Alligator mississippiensis: one gene and its partner. Each later gene encodes a partner of the first gene's protein in a complex. Links are inferred from orthologs where the notes say so. Each region holds a gene or a part of one and is shown in the gene's direction. Other genes may lie near its edges.

What was found. Proteins that work in one complex are often made in the same cells at the same time.
Region 2: RRS1 (region 1) and RPF2 share a complex: the UniProt entries of both Homo sapiens proteins name them as parts of the hexameric 5S RNP precursor complex. The link is inferred for Alligator mississippiensis from reciprocal best matches to the Homo sapiens genes RRS1 and RPF2.

What each region holds. Positions count from the first base shown.
Region 1 is NC_081826.1:64,239,153-64,242,460, reverse strand, and holds RRS1 (ribosome biogenesis regulatory protein homolog), read left to right. Parts: upstream 1-964; 5' UTR 965-1,026; coding exon 1,027-2,061; 3' UTR 2,062-2,735; downstream 2,736-3,308. UniProt on the Homo sapiens protein: Involved in ribosomal large subunit assembly. May regulate the localization of the 5S RNP/5S ribonucleoprotein particle to the nucleolus.
Region 2 is NC_081824.1:96,476,719-96,480,469, forward strand, and holds the start of RPF2 (ribosome production factor 2 homolog), read left to right. Parts: upstream 1-875; 5' UTR 876-976; coding exon 977-999; intron 1,000-3,751. UniProt on the Homo sapiens protein: Involved in ribosomal large subunit assembly. May regulate the localization of the 5S RNP/5S ribonucleoprotein particle to the nucleolus.

The sequences.
Region 1 (3,308 bases):
GGAAAGCCCTAGGCCAAGATGTCTCTCCTTTTCCTGCCCCGCCTTCACACATCTGGCATAATTTTTCCCGCCCAGCTCCTATTTCTGCTGTAGCTTCCCTGGGACTTAAGGATTACAAAGGTAGCATAGAAGCCTCCCCTCACCACCACCACCTTGCATTGCAGTGGCAGCGGAAGTGGTAGTGCGCAGGCTCTGCTGCCCCATCCCCTGCTCACTGGTGCAGGAGCAGGACCCCGAGATGGACCAGAGGGACAAACCTGAGCTGTCCCAGCCTCAACAGCCGCACCTGCTTGGTGAGAAAAAAAAAAATCTGAACTAAGGGGCGGTGGGCAGGGGGCCCTCAGGCAGCAGGGCCACAACAGCAGGTGCCTCAGCATTGCCAGGTGTTCAATATGAAATTATCGTATTGGGAGCTCAAAATGATTGTATTTTCTGAAAAACTATCATACACTGAAAAATAATGAAATAAGTATGCAAATAACTCTTCTTCTTTTTTACTTACTATTGCTCACTGTTAAACTGCTGTGAGTGAGAGAGACCTGGATCATCAAAGTTGAAACATTTCTTTTTTTCAAGGCAAACAGCCAGAAGAGAGTGTCGACAGCAGCCCCGACTCAGCTAAGACTTCCTGAGCATGACTTGGTGCATATGCTGCATCAATTAGTTGCCTCAATAATCGTCCTACATTTTGAACACTTTTACTATTACTGATTGTACACTGCACAAGGGCTGAAATGATTGTACAAAACCGATCATTATCGTACGCCTGGTAACACTGGGGTGCTTCTGCTATACAGGGCCTGGCGCCCAACGCTGGGGGCGGTGAGGAGGGCGCTGCTACAAGGGGTGCCGCAGTACCGCGGGGAGGGGGAAGGAACTACGAACCCCAGCATGCAACGCGCCGCCCGCCCCCCTGCCGCCGGGCTCCGCGCGGGGCATTCTGGGCAATGCAGTCCCGCGCTGCTTACACTCATCCGGTGCCTTGACCCGGAAGCGGCCCTTTCCCGGCCACTCGCACGTGGAGCCATGGCGGCCCCGCGCGCGGAGGAGCTGCTGGCGGGCGTGGAGCCGGCGGCCCTGCCGGCGCGGAGCCTGGTGGTGCACAAGGAGCTGGAGCTGGACTTCGACCTGGGCAACCTGCTGGCGCGGGACGGCAACCCGCCACCCCGCGCCGCCGCCGCCGCCCAGCGGGAGGCCGCACTGCGGGCGCTGGCGCGGGACAACGCGCAGCTGCTGGCGGCCGAGCTGTGGGCGCTGCCGGCGCGGCGGCCCGAGGGGGAGGCGGCGGGGCCTCTGCTGGCCGAGCTGCCGCCGCCCGCCACCCGCCTGCCCCGCGAGAAGCCGCCGCCGCGCCCGCGGCCGCCCACGCGCTGGGAGCGCTTCGCGCAACTCAAGGGCATCCGACGGCGTAAGCGGCCCTCGCTTGTGTGGGACGCGGCGGCCGGCGATTGGCGGCGGCGCTGGGGCTACGGGCGGGCGGGCGGCGACCCGGCGCGGGCGTGGCTGGCCGAGGTGCCGCCCGGGGCTGACCCGCTCCAGGACCAGCTGGGACGGCAGCGGCGGGAGAAGCGCGAGCGCGTGGCGCGCAACGAGTTCAGCCGCCTGCGCAACCTGGCACGTGCCAGCAGCTTCCACCCCACTGGCCACCAGGGCCGCCAGGAGCTGGGCCGTGCCGCCTGCCTGGCCCGTGCCTCCACCGCCTCGCTCGGCCGCTTCCAGCCGCGCCTGCCCCGGGAGTCGCCTCTGCCCCTGCCACGCAGCGCTGGCAGCGGCAAGAAGAAGCGGCGCTTCGCACCTCTGCTGGGGGACCTGGCGGCCGAGCGCGGGCGGCAGCTGGAGTTGGTGCGCACGCTGGCCAAGCCACCACCACTGGACGTGGCGCGCGCCACCAACAAGCAGCTGCGCCAGGAGGACGCCGAGGTGGCATCAACGAGTCGCGCCAAGGGCCGCAAGCGCAGCGAGCGTGGAAAACGGGCACGAGGGCGGGGCACCCCCCAGCAGCGCCGCCGGGGGCAGCAGAAGCAGCAGCGCCCGGCTGGGGGCAAGAGGAGGAAGCGCTGAGCATGGCCTGGGCCCTGCCTGGGATTCCCCCCCACCCTCGTGTGTCTGGGGGAGGGCAATCTCTCCCAGCCCAGAGTGGAGCTGGGGTACCCCCCAAGAGACAGGGCACAGGCCTGAGCCAGAAGGACTTGCTCCCCATTTATATGACAGGACCCCATTCTCGTTTGTCTTCTTGTGGCTGCGCTCAGAGGCTGGAGATGCTTTAGCAGGACTGACTGGTTACAAACAGCACAATAGACATGGGCATTTGCTTTTGAGAGGGTTTCTGGGACTGCGTTGTGGAAGGACTTAAAGAGGGTTGTTCCATGTGTTAAATGAGCCATTGAAAGTCAGCGGCTGTTTCCAAGCTTACTTTTTTGCTAAGCAGCCTAAGTATGTTCCTCCAACTCTGTCACCCCTTCATCTTTTCTCCAAGCTATCCCAGATGGGTTTGGTTTATTTTGTGTTCTGCCCTCTATTAAAATTGTAAGAGCTATAAAAATACTGCAGGTCCAAAGTGTCTCTTTCTCATGGCCTAGAAAAGCAGAGATGGGTCTGAACAAGAAAAAGTTCACTGTGTGTATGCAATTCCTTTCTGTGCTGCTGAAATGTAGACCAAAGGTTGTGAGGAATCACTTTCTAGAATTGCTCCCTACTGTGAGAAGGATGTTGCAATAAATGAAGATTTTGTGGTTTGGGGTTTGTTTTTTTTAAATGAGGTGAGTAAAGTTCTGGCTTATTTAATTGAATTGACTACGTGCATTGGGGAGAGTTAACATGTCTCAGAACATTAATACTGTACTAACTGGTATTATCTAACTAAAAATGTGGCACAATTAACATTTAAGATTGGGTAGATAAAACAGCAACTTGGAACAGTCAGAAGTTGCTGTTAGAAGGGAAGATGACTGGTACTAGAGCAGGGCTGGGCAATTATTTCGGGTGGAGGGCCGCTTACCCAGTTTTGGCAAGCCGTTGAAGGCCGCAGGGGTAGTCCCACCCCTTGACAGGTGCCCTGCCCCCTGGTCACCATCTTGGGACCAATGTCTCAGGGCCACTACAGGCAGGGAGCAGGCTGGTAGAGGTCTGTGGAGCTGGGCTGGGCTGCACCGACAGGGAGAGGGGGGAGCTGGCCCTGCTCCATAGAGCCCCTGCCAGCCAGGACCCTATACTCCTGCTGCCCTGGTGTAGGCCCCCTGCTCCCTCTGGCTCTTGCACCCTCTCACTCCCAGTGCCCAACTCAGCCCTGTGGTACAGGCAGGGGGTAG
Region 2 (3,751 bases), on another chromosome or scaffold:
AGGGGTGTGTGAATTGCTCACAGATTCCATACAGGCATTTCTGTATGCACTATGCAGCTGGAGAAAGAAGAGAATTATACTGGGCTTTAAGTATTCTGGCTAATCTTTAGCAAAAAACCAAAATAACACCGTGCCCCCACAAATACCAGGATCTAGGCACAACCTGATGGGGCATAAACATGCCCTTGAAGATATGTATGTGCAAAAGGGCTTCTGTTGGATGAGGTTGAAGTTGGTTCCTTATTCCAATTGTGCTTAGGGTTATTCGGGACAGTCCCCCAGTAGCAGCAACCTGCAGTCTGGGGTGTCCCAAAAAGTAGTTTCCCCCGTAATCCTATCCTAATTTGGTCTTAATTTAGGGCTCTGTATTTGATGTAGGATATTATTTTACATATTAATTAATAAATATACATAGCTGATGGAATTATCTCTCTTAGAATGTGTAATTCACGAATAACAAGTTTTTAGTGTGTATAGATTAGGTTTGAGAAAGGGACTGGGAATAAGGAACCAACTTCAACCTCATTTCCGCTGGTTAGTTTTGCGCTGTAAGTCCCACCGGCTTCTTCCACTCTACTTTTGGCAGGATAATAAAGGATGCAAAGGGTTTATTACATTGTCATTATTATCCTTACCATCATTTTTATTAGTTTAATAATACAACGTTAACAATAATAACGATAGTAGTAGCAGTAGTAATGACGATCATGTACTGAAAAGCAACCTATTCACTAACTAGGAGCAGACCCGGCGCTTCCCCCTCCCCACTTTATGCCCAGCTCAGGGCAGCGCCCTCATGCGTTGTCACTGAGCACGCGCTGGCGGGCAAGCTACTAAATAGCGGGAGGAGGGAGCAGTGGCGCCATCGCCTCCGGTAGGCGGATGTGACGTTACAGAGTGAAAAGGGAATGCGGACTTCCGGTTGTGTGCGGTGCGTCCACGTGGGGTTGAGCCGCGCGTGCAAGGGGCTACCGAGATGGAGCCGCTGGACCGCGTCTTGTGAGTGCGGGACTGGAGTTGCGGGGTCCGGAGGGACGTGGGTGTGGGTGTGCGCTTCCTGCCTCCGAGAGCCCTGTCCCGCCTTGCTGCCGGCTGAGCTGCTGCTTTCTGCGTCTTGCTCTGTACCCCTGCCCTCGTTGCTGCTCTCCTTTCTGCTCCCGGCTGCGCGCTCCCTGCCAAATCTGTTGCTCCGGCTTCTGCTCCTTGCCCGAGCTGCTGCTGTGCTGCCTGCCGGCTGCACAGGCTGCTCTTGCCACTCGTGCACTCATACTTGTGCCGCCCCTGACCTGTTGGGTTGCTCGTCTCTAAATGTAGGGCAAGCTCAGATTCCCTCTGGAGGACGGTACCAAGCCTGTGGGCTATAGGCTGAAATGAAACCGCAGAGAGTGTTTACTGCCTGTGAGCATTCAAAGTGACATCAGTGGTGGTGGCTCCTTCTCACTCCCAGGTGTCCTCCTCCATCTCTGTCTGCCTTATCTATGTAAAAGGGTCATGGTTGTTTTTTGTTCACCCTACTTCAAGACCAGGTCTGATGGGCAGTTTCTAATGAAAGTTTTTTTCTATTTTTTTTTAATGGGTCATGAAGAAGCAGGGAAGTGCCCAGTGTAACTGTTGAGCATGCATCAGTGGTGGCCTCACTGGCTTTCTGAGAATATTATCCAGTTCTCAGGAGCTGCTCTGTGGCTATAGAGTTAGGCAACAAAAGTACTTTTTGGTTAATTTCAGCAACTTTGAATGTTATTTGCTACTTTGAAGTCTGATGATGGAGTAATTGTATTTTTCTTTTTGCTTTTTCACACTTGGATGGGCTACAACCATTTTACAGTTCTGGAAAACCCATAGGCATTCCTCAAACTACTGTCAAGGCATCAAGACCAGGTTCTGTAAAGAAACTTGAAAGGTCTTGTAGTTTCCTTAAACAAGGAAATTAGGCAATAGTGTAGTCTCAGAAAGCTGTCCAGGGCACCACAGCTGCAGGCTCAACAGTTATGCTGGGCACTTCTCTGCTACTTCATGATGTATTAAAAAAATACAAGAAACCTTTCATTAGAAACTGTACATCATGTGTTGTCTTAAAATTAAACATATTACATGCAATCTATTATATGATCTTACTCATTTATAATAAAGTAACCAAGTGAAGTTACAGGAAGGCATATACTACCATGCAAAGAATAAACATTCCATATTTTGCCAATTTTAATAATTGTAATCATAATTTAAATGTAATGAGACAATATATATCTTTTGCTCTTCATCATACCGAAAAAATACAGTATGAACAAATTACCAATGTATATACTTTTACAAGTTAAATAAGTTTTGTACCGAGTTGTCATGCAGTCGGCTCCAACCAACCAAAAATGTTAAAAAGAAAAAATCAGCAGTTATTCTCCAACAGCTGAAAGCTAAACTTGGCTGAATGCTTCCAAATAAACAACAACAAAAAAGGCTAAGACAAATGTCCACTAAATGAGGGTAATGGGACCAGCATTAAACTTTGGAATGAAAGCTTTAGGAAAGTTTTGTTGTTTTATGTATTTGTATAGAGCATGTGTTTGTAAAATAACAAATGCTTTATATTAGAGATGCACTGATATATCCATCTGGTATCAGATCGGTACCAGTATAAACAAATTTTGGCTGTATCGGAAACTGGCCTGTTGGGGCCAGTAATTTGGCTGATAAATGCCTGTACGTGTGTACAGCCACAGCACAGCATTCAGGCAGCAAGGAGCACAGCCTTGCAGTGTGGATAGCTGCCCCAAGCTGGTAAGTCTCTGGTGGAAGGGGAGCGGGGAGGGAAGGGATGTGGGGGGTGCAGATCAACCCCCCTACCCCTCCACATGGTGAGGGAGGGGTCAGGGATAGGGGCAGGTGCTGCCCAGCTGTGGTGGAGGGGGGCACAGAACGTATCTGCGGCTTGTTTGGGGGGGGTGGCTCCTGCAGCTGTGTGCACCCTGGGAAAGCATGGGGGGAAGGGGGTGCCCCCAGATCTGTGAAGGGTGAGGCCAGGGCTGCACCGGGCTCTTCTCACCAGGGTCTGGGCTCAGGTTGAGGCTACAGAGGGAGCTGCAGTCACCCCAAATTTCACCGTAGCTCCCTCCCAGGATGGCTGTCACTGCATTCCTGGAACAGCCCCGGCTCAACACCCTGCCTCTACCCACGTGCCAGGAAGAGTTGGGAGTGCGCAGTGGCACTGGGAGGGAGCTACAGTGAAATTTGGGGTGGCTGGAGCCCCAACTGTAGCCCCCACCCTGAGCCCAGCCCCCAGCGAGAAGAGCCAAGGTGCAGCCCCGTCTTTAGCCTACAGCTGCAGCCCATCTACCCTGCCCCATGCAGATTCAGGGGCATGTGCTGCCTGCCCCATCCCCCTGGTCCTCCCAGGGTTCGCGCAGCTGTGGGAGGCTGTGGGTCCATCCCACACCTGCTTTGGCTGGCCAGTGCCTACCCCTTCCCTCACTGCCACCCCCCCCGGTGCGTCTTCCCTCCCCCTCCACCACAATGGACTTACCAGCTGGAGGCAGCTCTTCATGCTGTATCGACCAGTACCCATCTGATTTCTGATATGCCTCTTTAAAAATTGGATATCGATGTCGGCCCCAAAAATCTCTATCAGTGCACCCTTACTTTATACGTGTGGGTTGTTATCAAGACATATTCTAGGCATGATGTTGAATTTTTTCTTTTAACAGCTTATAAGAACATTTAATATGATACATGTCTGTTGCATAAGGAGAAGCCATATGCA